Linked DNA regions of Alligator mississippiensis. The main gene of each other region encodes a partner of the protein of the gene in region 2 in a complex. Links are inferred from orthologs where the notes say so. Each region holds a gene or a part of one and is shown on either strand. Other genes may lie near its edges.

What was found. Proteins that work in one complex are often made in the same cells at the same time.
Region 1: NUP153 (region 2) and NUP93 share a complex: the UniProt entries of both Homo sapiens proteins name them as parts of the nuclear pore complex. The link is inferred for Alligator mississippiensis from reciprocal best matches to the Homo sapiens genes NUP153 and NUP93.

What each region holds. Positions count from the first base shown.
Region 1 is NC_081833.1:36,476,034-36,486,065, reverse strand, and holds the start of NUP93 (nuclear pore complex protein Nup93), read right to left. Parts: upstream 4,016-10,032; 5' UTR 3,828-4,015; intron 2,988-3,827; exon of another isoform or gene 2,881-2,987; intron 1-2,880. UniProt on the Homo sapiens protein: Plays a role in the nuclear pore complex (NPC) assembly and/or maintenance. May anchor nucleoporins, but not NUP153 and TPR, to the NPC. During renal development, regulates podocyte migration and proliferation through SMAD4 signaling.
Region 2 is NC_081826.1:130,931,136-130,940,907, forward strand, and holds the start of NUP153 (nuclear pore complex protein Nup153), read right to left. Parts: upstream 4,075-9,772; 5' UTR 3,907-4,074; coding exon 3,823-3,906; intron 1-3,822. UniProt on the Homo sapiens protein: Component of the nuclear pore complex (NPC), a complex required for the trafficking across the nuclear envelope. Functions as a scaffolding element in the nuclear phase of the NPC essential for normal nucleocytoplasmic transport of proteins and mRNAs.

The DNA of each region.
Region 1 (10,032 bases), on a different chromosome or scaffold from region 2:
TTTTTTTAGCTTATTACTATGAAAGATAATATAACAGATAAAATATCTAAAATATAATAGAAGTACCCACATTTAGAGTTAGACATCAAAACTCAAGGTTAAAAAGACTCCATTACTTATATATTTTTTCAACAAGTCATTGTTTTATAACTGGTGTGTAGAGTGGTCACATTAAACTCTGAATATAGTCTACCAATCTTTTATTAAGGCCATCTACCACTTACAGCTTTGAAGATCTCTCCGAAATGGAAAATGAATATGAAGATATACTATCTACCCTCCTGCATACCAGACCTCTCCAGTACTACTGCAGCAAAGTGAAATTGACAAGTCTGGTTCAGTTTCACCCTTTACATTCAGAAACTCATAAGCAACAATGAAAGAGACAAGAATCAGGTCAATTTGACTCCTCAGCTTCCCTAGGAAAGCTACCAGCAGCAGCACCTATAGAAATTGAAACTAATCATGAGGAGAGAGAGAGAAAGAAAGACAAACCCAAGGATGAGCAAGAAGCTCCTGTGAGAAAAGGAGACTCTAACACTGCTGATTTTCTAGAGGCTTTAGGGGCAGCTAGGAGTAGCAGTATCAAGCCACCTAAAGAAGGTGCAAGGCAGCACTTTGGCAACAAGTCCAACATCTTCTCTCTACTCAGAAGATGGAGAAGCTGCTAAGCTATACAGTAAGGCATGTCCCAAAGCTTTGCTGATGGCTCCTCCCTTTCTCTCAGCTTCTGGAGGTCCCTGTATTTAAAATCCTACAATAAAAATAATACTTACAAAAACAACCATCCATTTCCAAGTTTTCACCAACCACTAGAAATTCTGGCTTTACAACTCCTTGATATAAAAATTCTATAACCTGAACGCTGCAGACTACTTGTTGATTGCGCAAACAAGCTTTTTAGTATTTTTGACTGTCAGCTTGTTTTTATGTTTCTATACAACTTGCAAAGCAACCATGCAGGTTTTCCTCAGGTTTCTCGACCCTTGCCTCTTAAATAGAGGTTTTGCTTGCTTTATGCAGGTTCTGTATGCGCAAATTCACTCTTATCCGCTGAGCTATTTATACCAAAAATTCATTATATACAAGGTAAATTCACTCTTATGTGATCAGTGTGGTGGAAGCCCTCAGACAGCTGCTTTGACGCACACCCAAATATAGTCTCCTGCGTGCACAGCATACCCAAGCAGGGTACAGGACTCGGGGCAAGTCAGCGTTTGCGGGGCCCCAATCCTACTCCAATCCCATGGGCCTCGGACCCAAAGAAGCTGCCACAGTCGTCAGCACCAGCGGTGGTGTGGGGGGTAGCGAGTGGCTGGATGTGCCGCTGCTGCTCCACCCAGCTCTGCAGGGCCCCACAAAGCACAGGGCCTGGGGTGGTCACCCCATTTCACCCCTGCCACAGGGACAGGGCCCTGCCTGTGTGGATCTGTGCTCCTCGCTTGTGGTCTGTGACACGTGCTTCTGCAGTTGCCATCCTTATTATGGTAACATTCACCACCACCCTGTGCAGTTGGCAAGTACCAAAACGGTCTTGTAAAGTGGGGGTCAGTACAATCGAGGTCTTGGAATGTATCCCGATTTGTTACATTGTAAAGTGGGTTCCCTTTGTATGAATTTGAGGTATGCACCGTTTTCCAGGAATGCGTGTACAGCATAAAGCAAAGGAAACCTGTAATAGTGTCACCTGTCAGTTTTGTTACCTCAGAATTCATGCTTTTTCCCCAAACTCCTTTCTATATACATTAAGCACCCAATCCGAGCCCAGACCATTGACATACTAGGCTAACCACTGTTACGTGGAAAGCTACCATTATTTGGAAGGGGGGGGGGGGGGAGACAAAAACTCAACACACTCAGAAATTATAAAGGATGTTACAAAAGAAATGTAGAAATTACTGAGATAGCCTCTCTGCTGGAAAAAAAAAAATATCACACATCCAAAAATACAGGCATTGTGCATGTGACAGAATTACTGAGCCAAGGCCAGTGTTGGGCCAGGGAAGGTAGCCAGCAGCATGGAGTGGTGTGCATCTACCCATCAAGTTTCACTGTGTCAAAAGACTAAGTTTTAACAAAAGAAAACTCCAACCACATTAACAAGAGGTTTGCCTTGCCCATGGAGATTGTAACCCTGGTTGCACTCAAGTCAGCATTTTGTGCTGCAACCCTGTAGAGACCAGGGCTAGAAGACAAATCAGATCCCATCTAAAAAGGTCCAGTAAACCTAGTGTCCCAATCAAGAGAACATACTTGAGGCTACTGCTGGTCAGAAAGGCAGAGAATGCAGAGAACAGAGGAGAGCAAAACCACACCGTACGCATTTCAGTTAGATATTTTTTAACGTGTCTAGGACATTTGTCATATGCCATTTGTTTCCCTATAGTCCTTTTCCCCTGTTGATGGGTTAGTCCAGTCAAAGCCTAAAAGGAGCAAATGGGAAATGGCCGGTAGTCAGCACAAAGAGATAGTGATGGTTTCTTAGTCTGAAGTCAAGTAGCGGGCTGGGGAGAGCTGTACTTTGCAGACCAGTGAAATCCAAGGGAAAGTTAAGAGCGGGCACTTTCCGAGGGGGCTGGAGCCTAACGCAGGGGCCTGGCCGCTGAAGAGGCCGAGAACCCGCACTAGAGACCAGGCAGGGGAGGCCCCAGAGGGCAGGGCGCAGGCGGCTGCAGGCGCCCACACAAGCCGGGAAGCTCGTGCTCGGGGCAGACCCGCCCGGCGCGCTGACAAGCCCGGGGCCCGGGAGCTCCGCCCGGGCGAGCACGAGCCGCCGGACAGGGACTCACTGAGGGCCGCGCACGTGGCCCCGGGGGGAGGCCGCAGAGGCCACAGCCGCCGCCGCCGCCGTCCCGCACGCGCCGGCCCGGCGCCACTTACCGGTGTCCTTCCGCCGCGGGTGCCCACTCCGCGCCGCACGCGCTGATTGGAGCAGCCACCAAGCTCCCAGCAGCCCCCACGCCAAAACTTTATTGAGGCGCTGGCAGGAGACACGGGCAGTAGGGGCGGGGTGTCCCCTGGCGGTGGCCCTGGGGTTGCTTGGCCCGGCCCTGCCCTGCCCCGCCCCGCCCTGCCCCCGACACCCGGGCGGGGGCGGGAGGAGGTGGATGGAGGCCTGTACGGGTCACAGGCCTCATTTCATCTCCTCAGGCCAGGGCTCGATCAGGGTGCGCACCAAGGCTGCTCTCACGGCCTCCGCCTTGGGCTGTTCTGGGGCGAGCAACTCTGATGTGCGGCTGCCCGGGAGGGCGCTGCTCTTCCTCCTGGCTGGTTTCCCTGTTGGAGGGCTGTACCGGCCTAGCACGGAGCCTCCCAGTGAGGGATAACTTGCAGGTTGCTGTGGCCGACTTTCCCTCTTGGGGATCTCAGCCTAACAGGCTACAGTCACCTCTAGTTTTATAGATCTTCTGCGGGGAGATTCAAATGTAATATCATCGGATGGGCATGCCCTGATTTCCACAGTAAAATCCACTCGGAGGAGTGAGTGGGATCAAATGCCCTTCACCCTTCAAACTCTCTAAAAACAGAATTTAAAGCCTGAGGGCCAGGCATAGTAACTGTCTTATGATCTCTCTTCCCCCCAGTGTATTCACTATACTTCCTCCTACCACGGGCACATCCTGATCAGCAGCAGATTCCAATCTCCCCCTGCCCTGCACCTCCACCCCCGATTGCATTTTAGTGGCATAAGCTGGAGCCAAAGGGTAAAGAGGTGAAGATACTGCTCCTTCAGAGGCTATTAAGTGCTTTGGTTGAAAGATCAGTAGCAATATTTAAAAGGCAGCCGGAGAACACTTCTCCCTCCCTCCTGCCTAGTAGTTTCTTACCTTGCCATCTGGATTTGTTTCATGCTGTCTGCCTTGCTGGTGACATGGAGCTGCGTGATCGTCTGGTGTCTGACATTCATAATGCCAACATCTGACATTGGTCCTTCAAGGACGCTGGATCCAGCATTCTAGTTTAAAATGCCAGCTGTCTCCAGTGAGGAGAAAGCAGAGAGAGAGGATTTTTTTTCTCTCCCCTTCTTTCTTTTCTCTACAATTTTTTTAAAGATTTTGCTACGCACAGTGGTGAGTTGAAAAATTACAGGAGACACAAGGCACTTACAGAGGTGCCCTGTCCTTGGACAGAAAACAACTGTCCTTCCAAACAACTTGATAAGGGTGGGAGGCTGCTGGCTTGACTATTTGTTTTAACAGATCATATTTCCTGCTCAATTCACCCAAGACCCTAGGCCTTGAGTATGAATCAGATTGTCACAGATTTGCAAAGTGAAGGGGTGGATGCAAAACTTCTCTCCCTTTGTATTCCAGTCTAGGAGCCAGTAAATGATCTAAACCAGGGGTGGACGATCCCCGGCACGGGTGCCAGAACATGGCATGCAAAGGCATTTTGCTTGGCACACGCACCTTGGGGCAGACGGTGGAGAGTGGACCAGGCCTGCACTGCCACAACAAGTATTTGGCCCCTTGCAGCCCCTGCCATCCACCCCCGGCATGCCAACATCTTACAAGTCAAGGTTGTGGGTGTTTTTGGCACTCTGCTCAAAAACATTGCTGACCCCTGATCTAGACTCTGCAAGGTAAAGAGCATCCATAACTCAGAAAAATGCTGATTTGAATTAAAGGGTGTTATTACACATGCTCCAGGGGGGGAAGGGGGGGTATTTAGAGCAGCTCAGAGAGCCACTCTAATTGAAGTGCCCTCAGTGTCTTGTGTAATCAATGTCCCATGCTTCAAAATGGCAGTAGGAGCACTAACTGAAGCTTACTGAACAAGCTTTAGTTAAAGGGCCCCCACCACCATCTTAAAGCATGGGGACGCTGAATACATGAGACATGCAGGCTGCTGGAGTGCATTAATTAGCACACTCCAGCAGACTTGATTAATTGAGTCTGCTCCAACATGCTGTAATTACAGAGCACCCTTCCTGTACATCTACAGGCACCCAAACACATTCAGTATTTTTTGCAAAGGCCACAAAAGGTCTTGCATGATTGGGACCTGTGAGTGCAATCTATGCTCCAGGTTAGAGCCAAAAATTACCCTTCCCTAAAATAAGGATGAGATAAGGGCAAGGATTTGATTCAACCCCTTCTGCACCAGTCAGCAGAGACAGCCCTGCATGTAGGCATTGCATGCATTCCCACAGGTTCTGTGTCTTCTCAATTCCAAGTCAGTAATGAAGCCTTCACAGCGGGAGCACTTCCTGTTCTTTATTCCTTGCTTCCAGAATCTCTTTACCATAGGATCCCTTCCCCTTCAGCAGAGAATGAAGTCCCATGGCTTTATTTAACAAACCTATGGAGCCTGTATGATTCCAAAATAATGAATCAGAAAGATTATAGTTTCATAGTTGGGAGGGTTGGAAGGGACCTGAGCAGCTCATCAAGTCCAACCCCCTGCCATGGGCAGGAAAGAATGCTGGGGTCAAACGACCCCGGCTAGGTGATTATCCAGCCTCCTTTTGAAGACCCCCAGGGTAGAAGCAAGCACCACTTCCCTTGGAAGTTGGTTCCAGAACCTAGTACCCTGACAGTGAAGTAGCACCTCCTGATGTCTAGTCTGAATCTACTTTCAGTCAGCTTAAGGTCTTTGTTCCTTGTTATTCCCGGTAGTGCTTGGGGGAACAGGGACTCTCCCATTGCCTGCTGGTCTCCCTTGGCCAGTTTATAGATGGCCACCAGATCCCCTTTCAGCCCTCTCTTGTGGAGGCTGAACATGTTCAGGTCCCATAGCCTCTCCTCATAGGGCCTGCCCTGCAGATCCCTGATCATGTGGGTGGCCTTCCTCTGGACCCTCTCGATGCTGTCCACATCCCTCCTGAAGTGTGGCGCTCAGAACTGGACACAGTACTCCAGCTGCAGCCTGACCAGTGTCGCATAGAGGGGAGGATCACCTCCTTGGACCTGCTCATGATACATCTGTGGATGCATGACAAGGTGCGGTTAGCCTTACTGACCGCATCCTCACATTGGTGGCCCACATGCATCTTGGACTCAACAGTGACTCCAAGATCCTTTTCTGCCTCTGTGCTGATGAGAAGGGAGTTCCCCAGCTTGTAGGCATGCTGCTGGTTCTTCCCTGCTAGGTGCAGTACCTTGCACTTGTCAGTATTGAAACCCATCCTGTTCTCATCTGCTCACCCCTGTAACCTGTCCAGAGATAGTTGTAGCCTGTCCCTCTCCTCTAGCATGCCCACTTCTCCCCACATCTTAGTGTCATCTGCGAATTTGAACAAGGTGCTTTTCACCCCCTCCTCCAAGTCACTGATGAAGATATTGAACAGTGCAGGCCCGAGGACCGAGCCCTGGGGAACCCCACTGCCCACATCCCTCCAGGATGAAAATGACCCATCCACCACCACTCCCTCCAGCCAAATTGTGACCCATCTGACTGTGCAGGCATCAGCACCACAGTCACCTAATTTTTTAATGAGAATGGGGTGAGAGACAGTGTCAAAGGCCTTCCTAAAGTTTATAAAGACCTGCGTCCAAGGATTTTGTGACCTGGTTGTAGAAGGCAACCAGGTTGGTCTGACAGGACCTGCCTCTAATGAACCCGTGTTGATTGCCCCTAAGCATAATCTCCCCTGCTGGCCCCTCACAGATGTGTTCCTGGATAATTTTTCAAAGAGCTTTCCCAGGACCAAGGTAAGACTAACTGGCCTATAGTTTCCTGGGTCCTCCCTTTCTCTCTTTTTTGAAAATGGGAACCACATTGGCCCTTTTCCAGTCCTCTGGCACCTTGCCAGAGCACCACGAGTGCTTGTCAAGCTGTGCCAGGGGTCCCGCAATGATCTCTGCCAATTCCCTCGGCAGTCTGAGGTGGAGATTGTCAGGACCTGCTGATTTGAACACATCTAGTCCCACCAGAAGTTCCCTGACTAGGTCCTCGATGAACCTGGGTCTGGCTGCACCTCCCTTGGGTCTGTCCAGGATCCCGGTGGAGGGGATAACCTGGTCCCTGCTCAGAAAAATAGAGGAAAAGAATGTGTTAAAGAGGTTAGCTTTGTTGTCTGGTGTGACCACCAGATTTCCAAGCACATCCTGCAGAGGTCCCACGTTACCTGGTAACTTCTTTTTACCCGCTATGTATTTAAAAAAGGACTTCTTGCTATTTTTGATCCGGGTCACTAGTCCCAGTTCCGTCTCCGCCTTAGCCTTCCTAACAGCCCCCCGACAATCTCGAACAATGGAGGTATAATCCTCCTTGGTGATGACCCCTCCCTTCCATTGGGTGTATGCCTCCTTTTTAGCTTTGAGATGTTCCTAGATGCTTTTGGTGAGCCATGGGGGCTTTTGAGCACTCTTGCCCCCTTTGAGCTGCTTTGGGATTGTCACCCTTTGGGCTTGGAAGATAGTCTCCTTAAGGAACAACCACTCTTCTTAGATTCCCAAATCCCCTCCCCTCCGGGACCTCTGTGCCTCCCCGACTAGTCTCCTTACATCATCGAAATCTGCCCTCCTGAAGTCCAGGGCTGCTGCCTTGCTGCAGGCCTTTGACACCCTGCGCTGGATGGTGAATTCCAGCAGACAATGATCGCTATCACCCAGGTGATTGAGCACCCGGCAGTCACCTCACCAGGTCATCACCTGTGGCCAGGTCCAGGTCCAATAAGGCATTTCACCTGGTGAGACTGTGCACCTCCTGGGTTTGATGGAGGTCCTGTAACTCAGCTAGGAACCTACGTGAGCGGTCAGACCTGGCTGGCTGCTCTTCCCAGCAGATGTCCAGATAGTTTAGGTCACCCATGATGACCACGTTCCTTGACTTAACTGCCTCCACAAGCTGATCTGAGAATTCCCAGTCTAGCTCTTCCCCCTGGTTGGGTGGTCTGTAGTAGACCCCCACCATTAAGTCCCTTTTCCCCCCGACCCCCTTGTATTCTGACCCAGAGCACTTCAGTCTGCCCCTCCAATGACCCAGTGCTGTTTGCTGAGGATGTGTATTGCTCTTTGATGTACAGCACCACAGCCTGACTTTTCCTCCCCATTCTAACCTGCCTGTACAGCCTATAGCCCTTGATGTTTACCACCCAGTCGTGCATTGGATCTCAGTAAGTTTCAGTAAGTCCCACTATGTCTGGGTTTGTGTTAGCTAGCAGGAGGGCAAGTTCCTCCTGCTTGTTCCCCATACTACTATAGCAGAAAGCCCCCTTTTCCTCTTGCTTGCATTTGCTCTCTCCTTTTTGGATATGTTTCTCTTCTTCTACCTTTTCTTCCTTTCTCTTTCTTTCGCTATAAGATAAGGAATTGTGTTTTAAAGTTTGTATGTGTGTATTTTGTATCTCTCCTTGTATTTTGGTATTTTTATCTATTTGTGTGCCATGGCATTACTCTTGTAGCTTATATTTTATACTCCTCACCTTTTAACTAAAAGTGTTTAGTTTCAGAAGTAAGTTATACATTGTAACAATGTTAACAAGGGCAGGAATCAAACTGGGCTTCCCTGTATCAGGCGGACCCCTGAAAGAGTGAGTCAATCAGTGATTGAATGTGTAACACAGTAGCAGGCTTCAGTAACTAAAATCAATTAACACCTAGGAAAACCACAGATCAACCAAGGGAGGAAATCAATAGGAGACAACGTAGCAACCAGGAATTCTCTAAACTTCACTGTTCAAGGGCTAGAAGCCCCCGTCTGAGTTAATCAACACCGGGGACCAACTTTTGGGACTAAATATCTCCAGATAGACCGCTCCCAGAGCCCTACTCATGACAACAGTAAATTAATCAAAATTCATCAACGGACTCCCAAACCTGCATGTATATGCGGACAACCCCTGAGGCTGACAGATGCCATCCAGTAGCCACCAAGGGGGAAGTCCCACGAGGGTCAATGACCCCTGGATTGGGCAAACCTGAAAACTGGGGAGTCACTGAAGTCCGCCAAGGACAGATAAAAAGCAGTGAAAAGTGACGCTCAGGGGTGCCCTCTTGATCTCCAACTTGACCAGCACCCAACCTGTCCAGCCAGAAGGACCAGCCGGCGACCCCCTTCTGGAGGATAACACCACACTGGAAGAAGCCTCGACTGGCCATCGACGGCAGACTCCAGCACCTGTGGGATAAGTATACCCAACTCTTGTAACTCGCTACTGTGTGTGTGCATGTGTGTGCGTGTGTGTGTCTGTGGGTGGGGACCAGCCCCAAGGTTTATGATTTGACTTCATTACAGTGTTTCAATCCGCCTAATAAACCAGACTTTTAAGGATCCCGAGTTGGACATTTTTAGACAACACTACGAGCATTAGTGTAGAGCAGGCTTGCCCAACATATGGCCCGCGGGCCACCATGCGGCCCGCCAAGCCATTTTATCGGGCCCGTGGCAGCAGCAGTGCCACCACCATGGAGCACAGGGCCACGGTGGTGGCGGAGCGTGGGGCCAGAGCGGCAGCGGAGCATGGGGCTGCCGCCGCAGGGCAGCGGCACAGAGTGCAGAGCCACCACTGCGGAGTGTGGGGCTGTGGTGGCAGTGGCGTGGGGCCGCTGTGGCAGTGCTGCAGCGGCAGCGGGGCTGCAGAGGCAGTGGTGGCATGGAGCCACAGCGGCGGTGGGGTGGTGGGGCCATGGCAAGACAGGCAGGTCAGGGTCACAGCGAGGCAGGCAGAGCCGGCCTGCGGGCCCCAGCCGGCAGGGAGGGGAGGGGAGCTGCTTACCCCCACGGGGCCCGGGGGCGCAGCCCCGCGCGGGATGCCAAGCAGCGGCCGCTGGCACTGCCGGCCCACACCTGCCTTGTCACCTGCCCGCTTCAAACCAGCCCCGCTGCCCTGCCCTGCCTGGCCCCACAGCAAGGTGGCGCCTGCTCCCCCGGCCAGTCTCCCCCCAGGCACTGCGGCTCTCCTGACCCAGCCGCCTGCACACGAGGCCTGGAGGGGGCTGCTTCTCATGTGCTGCTGGGGAGCTGGGGACGGGAGGAAGAGCACGGCTGGGTCTGCACTTACCAGCAGAAGCGGCGGCAGAGCCGTGTGCCGCTCGGGACGGGACAAGCCTGCACCGGTCAGTCCCGAGTGGCACACGGCTCCGCCAC
Region 2 (9,772 bases):
CATAGGAAAGGCTGATGCTTCCTGAACTGCGGGGGGGCAGGTATGGAGGGGCATAAGCATGAGGGGGGAAGGCCAGGGGAGGCAGCAGAGCTCCCTTAGGGGATGCAGCTTCAACTGCCCCTGCAGCGCTCTGTATGGGGCTCAACACCCCCCCCACCCAGGGCAGCCCACACCATGCTCCTCTACACACCCACCAGCCCAGCCTTGGTCATGGCCCCAGCTAGCATGCAGCTTCTGGCAGGGCTGCTCCCAGTGTGGCTGTAGCTGGCCAGGTGTTACTCTGCTCCCCTCACCCCCAGCCAGATCTGCCTGGCTGAAGCTTCCTCCCACCTGCCCGGAGCAGTAGGAACAACTGCTGCTGGAAGCAAGGGGAGCAGAGCAGTACCCTGAGGGCTGCAGCCATACTGGGAACAGCCCTGCTGGGCCCAGGCCGGCACAAATGAGCTTCAGCAAGTTGCCTCCAACTCCACCTCCTGGCCAACTTCCACACACTCTGCCTGCCCACAGTTGACAGCTCATCACACCAGGTGGCCAAAGCAGGTGAAAGGCAGCCAGGAGCTGGAGGCAGAGCCCTGCGCACTGAGGCAGAAGCACCCCCTGCCCAGAGTGTTGCAGCAGGGGTGAAAGGAGGAGCCACAGCTGGAGGCAAAAGCAGAGCAGCCCTATTGGCCTGGGCCCTGGCCAGCACCCATAGCTTCTGGTGGGGCTATTTCCAGAGCAGTGGTAGCCAACTGGGTGCTTCTCTGCTCCCCTTGCCTTCAGCAGCAGCTTAGTCCTCCTGCTCCTACTGTGCCACTCCAGGTGGGCAATCAGGTAGGGAGGCGGAAGCTTCAGCTGGGCAGCTCCAGCTGGAGATGAGGAGAGCAGAGCAGCACTGAGAACACCCCCATTGGAAGCTGCGTGCCCAGGCACAAGTTGGGACCCAGGCATGAGCGGGTGGAACTTGGCCCCATGTGGAGCACTATGGGGGCAGCCGTAGGCTGGATCTGGCCCATGAGCCGTATTTTGCCCACCCCTGCTCTAGAATATCATGCTCTGTAAGACAGGAGATATGGGTCTAAATCCTCTCAGGCAGAAGAGGAAACTCACTGAGGCCCCATATTCTGAGCAAGTGCAAAATCATTAAGCTTTCACAAAACAGAGCAAACAACTCCTTGATCAGACCTGAGACATCCCACTGGCTCAACCCCCTTCCTCCAGCTACCTCTAAAGCTGCCAATGTATCCTACAGGTCAGGGGTAGACAATCTTTTCCAGCCACAGGCTGGAATGACCCAACCCTGGCTGGGAGATAGGTGGGCAGCCAAAGCCTCACATCCTGCTATATGATGTCTGATTCCACTGGTAACTGCTAGGTATGCTTGTAGAATATCTACTGGACTAAATCCCTTTAAAGACTTAGCTGGATCAATGCCTACTTTTTAGTTTCTGATTGGGGAATAAGTCTGAACTAGGTTTTGAAAAGACTGAGTAGGTTAGCACCAAGGTACTTCTGGGTACATGCAGAAATAGAAATTTCAGGCAAAAAAAAAAAAAAAAAAAAAGAAGGAATTTTAAGGTTACAGACTGCAGCATGTATTGAAGAGAGATGCCTCAAGAGGCAGGTCTGATTCAGAAGGTTTTAGGATTGCAATTTTTTTGACCCGGGTGCCTAAATTCTTTCAAAGGTCATTAAAAAAATTTAATCTAAAGGCCAACAATTTAAACTTTATTGAGGGCTCCTTGCAAGGTACATTTTCCAATGGAGGCTGTCCCTAGTGGGATCTACTCTGACTGGACATCAGCTCTCAGTCATGGCTACAAGCAGAAAACTAGACTGCACATGTAGGCATACGTGCAGATTAGCAAACTACCACACAGCAAGGACACAGGACTCAACTGTTTTGCTTTTCAAATCTTCTCATTTAATAGATTATGGAGGGCCACAGGGATCACACTGGAAGGTTGCATGTCTTGGGCCCTAGTCTAGACTATTAGCACACATCGGCAAAATTTAAGCCTACTACTTAAAATTAGCTGCCCAGAAATAAATATGCAGAATGTTCTGCAAGTTTGCAAGCTCAACCTGGAAAAGTGCTTTTTGAAATATCCAACAAAACATGCACAATTTAATAAACCAATGAGACAATGGAATTTAAAATTATTACAATACAGAAAAGAAACTTTCCTCAGATATTTTACCGTATTTTACCGTAAATTTGATTGGTATATTTTGGTTTCAGTATCTATCTTTACAGCTTTATCATTCTTCAACTAGGTCTCATCATCATGCACATTACCTGATTTTTCAGTTCTGCTTCACCTTTTGCAAAAGTATGTCAATACTTGATCTGAAAGAGTAGCAACTTGCTTTCAACAGTTAGATGTCTGTGTCATTAGGCTGCACCAGAATTTCCGAGACAAATGCACATATCACGCTGTATAAAACAATATTGTGCTTAAGGCTGTACACAAATTACAACTCCCTGTTAATGATTTTGAGAGGAAATATGTCATTGTATATATATCTGTGCGTGTCTGCCTCTGAGCATATATCAACATCTATCTAGATCAGGGGTTTTTAAACTTCTTAGACTCAAGGCACTCCATGATAAACTAAGGCACCCCTTGGAAAATGTCATCTCTTAGTTTTCACTTATTTTTTGACTACGGAAAATTAACAGAGCAACTCTTCAGTTGCAAGGAACTCAGAAAGACTACAACAGGTCAGAATGGTTTTGATTCTGTGGATTATATGAAGGTGTACTTTGTGAATCATGGCTGCATACCTAGCATTTCCAACACTGCATGGCACCCTGCAGCACCCTAGAAAGGATCTCAAGGCACCCCAGGATACCATGGCACCCTCAGTGAAGGTACACCCCCCCAACCTGTATCTACACACATACACGCAAATCCTCATTTACATGGTCTTCTAGCTGAAGTTACTAATTAAAAAAAGCAGTAACTTAGACTGTTGCCTTCAACACTTCCCTTAAGTGTTCCCAAAGTGATACTAGCAAAGTACACAGGGGCACGGCTTATGCAAGCCACGGGCACATCTCAAACAGGTGGCAAGCTGAGGCATTAACAGGGCAGACGCCTTCCCTCCTGCCTGCCTCCAGCAGCTTGGGCTATGCACCCAAGACAGCTCCCTGGGGGAAGAGCAGTGATTTGCTAACAAAAACTCATTCTCTCTCCACCCAGGGAGGCAAGGCACAGAAGGGGAAGGCAGGAGAGCAGTTTATGAAGCAAGATTTCCCGCTCCCCCTTCATATTATATCACACCCAGGATGTTCCAGACAAAAGCCACGTGTAGGGGACCACTCTTGAAAAACTTCAGAGGAAAGGGGCAGGGAAGGAGGCTGTGATGCAGAAGCCCTCAGTGGAAGCACCTGGGGGGGGGGGGGAGGAGTGGGGGGCTTTGTAAACTGGACTGAGATGGGCAGAAACAAGGGTTCAAAGCAGCAAAAATCTGAAACATCAATGGAACAAGATAAAAAAAAAAGTCAGGAAAAAAGTCATCAGGAAAAAATATACTGCACCCCTCACAAGCACACACAACATGCAATCCCCCCATATCCTCCTACCACAGGCAGGGCTGGAAAGCCCCTCTGGCCCAACCACCCAGCCATGTCCATCCCTTCAGCTATTCCCACAACTGGGAGCCCCCCACCATGGGACACCCCCCGCCTCAAACGGGGCTGCGGGCAGGAAGGGGTTAACCCCCCATTTTCCCCCCCGGGGCGCAACACCCGCCAACGGCCGCGCCCGCCACGCGGCCCCGCCCGGCGCGGTGGCTCCCACGTGGGCCCGGGGCCGCACCCGCCCGCAGGCCCCTCACCTGCTTGCCCCGTGAGTAGGGCGTGGAGGCGCCCAGGTGGTAGCGCCGCGTCCGGATCTTGCCGCCACCGCTGCCCGAAGCCATGATGGGCCCCGGGCCCTTCCCCGGGTCCCGCGCGCCGTCCCTCCCCCCGCGGCCCGGCCGCTCCCCGGCCCCGCCCCTCTGTGCCGTCACGGGCTCTGCGGAGCGGCGCCCCCGCCGGCGCGCGGCCCGTCTCGCGGCCTCCCAGGCCTCACGCGCCGCCGGTTCAGTCCCGCCCGCCCGCGCCGCGTCCGAGTCCGCACACCCGTCCCCCCCCCCCCACCCGCCCCGTCCGGCCCAGCAGCCAACCACGCGAGCGCCCGCCCGGGCGGCGGAGCATCACTAGCCCGCGCCCTGTCCCTTGCGTCATCCGACTGGGCGCCTTACCCGGCAGCCCTCGCGCTCCGCCCCGAGGCCTCCTGGGAAGGGTAGTTCTCGCGCGAGTGGGGGGTGCGGAAGGACAGAGCAGAGCGGAAAAGGAGAGGGAGGGAAGGCGGGAGCGCCAGATCGAGGCTGTGACGTAACCCCATCGCCGCGCCCTCAAGCCGTAGCTCGGTGATTCACTGGGGCTTAATTACCGTAATGATCGTATTTGTGGCGCAATTTCAACCCTTGCACGCTGTACCCCTAATAGATAATACTAAAAGTTGTCAAAATGGGCGCTCATTCTCGGGGAAGCTCATTGGTGCAGCATATGCAAAAAAACACCCCAGGTCACTCTCTGGAGGGTCTTAACCAAATTTCGGGTTTGCTGTCATCACTTTCTCCTGACAGCTTGCCTCGGAATGAAGAAAGGCTTCAACTTGGATGCCCCAGTTCTCCCTCACTAGAGGTTACAGGTAGCAATAAAAAAGTAAATGAGGCTGATTCGCATACTTATTTGCATACTTTTTTCAGTGTCCAATAGTTTTGCAGAAAATATGAAATTATGGAAATTATTGTATTTAAGACCTAGCAACACTGCCTCAGAGGAGCCTCACAAAGTTGTAGAGAAGTGGGGCTGGAAGCAGCCTCCAGAGGTCTAGTCAACCCCCTGCCTGAGGCAGGATAAGCCCTCGACAGACCAACCCCTACAGCCCTCCTCTAACCTCTATGAAAGACCAGGGTTTGAATTGCACTTTGACTCTTGGGGGAGCGGTCTACAAAAAAAGTTGGGCTGCCCATCATGATGCCCTAATAAAATCCCCTAAAATCTAAAATCTACCCTGGAGATCTTCAAAAGGAGACTGGATGCTCACCTTGCAGGGATTATTTGACCCCAGCAGTCTTTCCTGCCCAGAGCAGGGGGCTGGACCCAATGATCTCATACGATCCCTTTCAGCCCTAAACTTCTGTGAATCTGTACAATTCTGACACTCCCTTCCTGGTTATGATTTTCAAATCTTACAGGAGGGCTCTCATCTCTTAAGCAAGGGGGGGGCTCAACCTCCCCTCACCCCCAGCTTCCCTGTAATTTAAACCCTTCGAAAGACTTACCCTCAGCCCTGGCATAACAAGGACCTCACACCCGAAACCTGCTGCAGGACAGTGGAGTTCTTCAGCATCAGGGAAACAAAAGGCTCTATATATGTTTACAGCCTTTATATAGAGAGTTTTTGTTTCCCTCATGCTGAGAAACACCACTGTCCTGCAGCAGGTTCAGGTGTGAGGTCTGTGTTGTGTCAGGGTTGAGGGTAGTCATTATATATATGTTCGTATAAAAATTTAAACCACAGTTGATGGTAGTCTTACACACACACACCATTTTAAAGACAGTCTCAAAAGAACTTTCCCGGGCCTGATTTCTGCATTGGGCAACAGCTATGGGTGGATCTAGGATTCTGAAAAGGGGAGGTGCACATGGTACGGTGCATCATCACAGTTTTGCCCAGTGAAAAAGATGCTCGAAGCTCTCTTGATAGATATTAGCCTAGAGCTCTAGTATTCAAGTTAAGATTGAAGCCAAAAAAAGAAAAAGAACAACATGCATTGGAATGTGCATGAATTTACTCAATTACATCAACTAACGAGGCAAAAAATAACCCAATGTTGTTTTGTTTGTCTTGGAGTCATTTTAGTTAAAGGCATGTCTCTCTTTCAGATCCCTAAAACAAAACCAAGCCATCTTGAGCATCTAGGCACAGCACATGTGCCAGAGCATGACATGTGAAGGCATTTTGCTTGGCACACATGCATTGGGACAGACAGCGGGGGAGCCACAAGGGGCCCAATCTTTGTTGTGGCAGTACAGCCCCGGCCCCTTCCCTGCTGCCCACCCTGAAGTGCACATACACCCACCACTGGCAATGAGCCAGGCCAGGGTTCCAATGACCCTAGTTCAGCTTTTTGCAGCCTCCTTGCAACCTGCCGCAAAGAGCCCAGGCTCCTGCCCAGAGCTGGGGCCTGCTGTGGCAGACAGCCAGGAGTCTGTAAACAGCTGCACTGGGATCCACAAAGCCTAGGCCCAGCTTGTTGCTAGCAGCGAGTGCACTTGGGCCTCAGGGCAGATGGCAGAGAAGGGGCTAGGGCTGTACTACCACAACAAGGATCAGGCCCCTTTTGTCTGCCTCTGGCACATCTTACAAGTCAAGGTTGTAGGTGTTTTTGGCACTCTACCCAAAAATGTTACCAACTCCTAATCTAGACAGTTCCCCCAAGTGCTCCACTGAAAGTTAATTTCTACACTTGAGCTAACATTCACTTGAGTTTGTGTTCCTACACCTGAAAACCACTGCTGGACTCTGAAATGGGAGCTGTGAGACTAAAAGCAGCTAGTAGCAGCATGGTAGAAGTGAGAGCTGGACGAAGGGAACCATTAAAGACTATTTTAATGGAAAGTTTAGAAGGAATTGAGCAAATTCTAATGAGCCATTAAGTCAATGGACTCCCTCACTGCTGCCTGAATAGAAATGCTGGCTTTTAACTTTGGATGGACTAGAAATCAAAGCAGGGTACGAGTGTACCAGTGCACCGCCCTCATCCCCAGCTGGCATGCACTAACCTTAGGTTACACATGCACAGACCTTAGCAGATCTCTCTCACTCCTTTTGTTTCCCCCCCCCCCCCCCAACCAATCCTCAACTTGCTTGTGGGTGGGGAGGGGCCTCAGGGAAAATTCCATAGGAAAGCAGGACCAAGGACAGTGGTGGTTTGATTGCTCAGGTGAGAAGCTGGTGTCTTTTTATTTTTGTTTTTTTAAATGAAAGACCGAGTTCAAGCAGGAAGTGTAGCTTAAAGTTTTCCCTCCAGCCTCTTCTTGCAAAAAAACAAACTTTTTCCAAAAACCTCCCTTCAGCATACCAAGTCGGTCTGTGCAAAGCGGCTAGTATTCGCTTTGGATTCAGCTGATTCGGGGGGGACAGCGATTCGATTTGGTGATTCGAAACACTGTCCCTAATTGATTTGGCTCCCGCCAAATGAGCCGAATCTCCGAATCACACAGGCCCCATCCCCTGCCCGCTCTCAATGGCTGCCCCGCCCAGCTCCTGGCTCTTTGGAAAGAAAAAAAAGAAAAGAAAAAAAGCCTAGCACTCACCAGCTGCTGCCAGGCACTGCCCCATGCTGCATGCGGGAGGGGGGTGGGAAGCCCTCTGTCATGAGCCCACCCCTGGCTGCTCTCCCAGTCCCTCCGTGGCTGCCCTGCCTGCCGCAGTTCCTGGCCCTTTAAAAGACAACCAACCAAGCAACCTACCCACCCTGCTCTCCAGGTCCTGCCTGGCAGGGGGCAATCCCCACTGCCCCCCCCCCCACTTTGTGGGGCTTTTCCACAAGCCCCCAGAAGCAGCAAGGCCACTGCAGGAGCCAGCGAGTCCAGGGTAGGTTATTTGTTTATAGGGCTGGGAGCTTGGGTGGGCAGGGGTCAGGGGTTTGTGGCAGAGCACCCCCCATGCAGCAGAGGGCAGTGGGGGGGCAGCAGGGATTGTTGCCCACCTGGCAGCACCCAGTGAGTAGGAGCTTTTTTTTTTAGAAACTGAGAGCTGGGGTGGGCGGAGCAGCCATGGGGAGGTGGGAAGGGAATAGGGGCTGGCAGGGGTTCCTCTATAGTCCTCTTCTCCAGCCTTCCCTCCCCCACCCCGTACTTACCAGCATGGAGTCTGGGTTCAGCTCCCTGAAGCAACCAGCAGGGACTGCCAGAAATCACTGAAGTTCTCCAAAGTGATTCAGAGAGCTTCAAATAGATTCAGACCTTTTAACTAGTCCCCTGATTTGATTCAGAGTCAGAGATTCAACCACTAGAAAAAAAACAAAAAAAAAAAACTGGGCCAAATCTCCTCCGAACCAAATCAGCACCCAAAGCTTCACCCAGCCCTAATACCAAGTGATTTGAGACAGTTGTCTGGAGGGAAAGAGGTGGATTAAGATGAAAGATTTGGAAAGGAACGTAGGAAGATAGATGACCGAGTCCAGCAGTGATGCTTGTTACGCAAGACTAGGATTCTGTTACAACTCGTGTTGTTATAATCAGTAAGTAACAACAGTTTCAGGTTCATTTATTTTGTGGCAGCTGGCAACAAGACACAGAACTGGCCTTAAGTGAAGCAGTCATGTTTCCATCACACATTGGGAAAATTAGAAGAAAATTTAATTTTCAATACATAAAGATAAGTTCCTGTAGTGAGCCATTCTATTTTGTTCACAGCACTAGTCTGCTTCTGGCCCTTACTGAGTAGGCCTGTGTGAAGCAGCTAGTATTCACTTTGGATTCAGCTGATTCTAGGGACAGCGATTAGATTTGGCTATCTGTATTACTGTCCCGAATTGATTCAGCTGCTGCCGAATCTCTGAATCATCCAGGCCAGACCCCATCCCCCACCCACTCTCCCAGCCCAGCAATGGATGCACCACCCACCCTACTCCTCTTTAGAAAAAAGCCCTGGTACTCAACCAGGTGCTGCTGGGGGTGAGTGGGGGGGGAGGGCAGGGAAGAGAAGTGATAGCTGCTGCCCCCCCACTGAATGGGGGGGCTCTGCACAAGCCCCCCAACCCCCCTTGCTCCCCCAGTCCCCCCCACCTGGGCCAGCTCTAGCCCTTTAAGAAAAAACAACAAAAAAAAAAAAAGTCAGAGACAGCCTTGCATTCTGGCTCCTGCTGGCAGGGGGGTGATCCTCACTGCCCTGCAGGGATCTCTATGTGAGCACCCCAAAGCTTAAGGCCAGTTCAGGAGCCGGGAATCCCAGGGTTTGTTTTTTTCTTAAAAAGGGCCAGAGCTAGCCTGGGCAGGGCACCAATGTGGCGGGGGCTTGTACAGAGCCCCCCCCATGCAGCATAGGGCAGCAGGCAGCACCCTATGCCCAGCAGCACCTGGTAAGCACCGGGGTTTTTTGTTTTTAAAAAAAACTGGGAGCTGGGGCAGGCAGGGGACCCTATGGTCCTCTCCCCCCCCTGCTACTTACCAGCTCTGAGGCTGCTGCAGCTCCCTGGGACTGTCTGAATCAAAGCTCTCAGAATCTTTTCCAAGATTCAGAGAGCTTTGGATTAATTCAGACCTCTCAATTGGTCCCGATTCAATATGGATTCAGAGATTTGGCCACCAAAGAAAAAAAAAAAATCATGCCAAACTGAGTCACTACCTGAAGTGTTGCACAGCTCTATTACAGAGTAGCTGTAGCGCTTCACTATTTCCCCAAGTAAAGAAAAGTAATGTTTCAAGCTTGGATGCATAAACTCCACAAGTCAGTCACAGGGAGAGATTCTGTCTGGCTGTTAAGGATAAACAGCAGCAAGGGAGGTAGTGGTGAGGGAAAAAAAGAAATCAAGTGGACTGGCTTTTGGTATGTGCAGCATTAAGCTGAAGTGAGTGCCTTTTTCCAAATTTAGAGTAAGTTGGGAAAAAGTACTCCCATGTCAGACTAAGTGTCCATACTGGGAGCTATTTTACAATAGCTATTGCTTTTACACACTACTTTATTCCAGAATGTCTGCACAGGAAGTTATTCCTTAAGTGACAAAC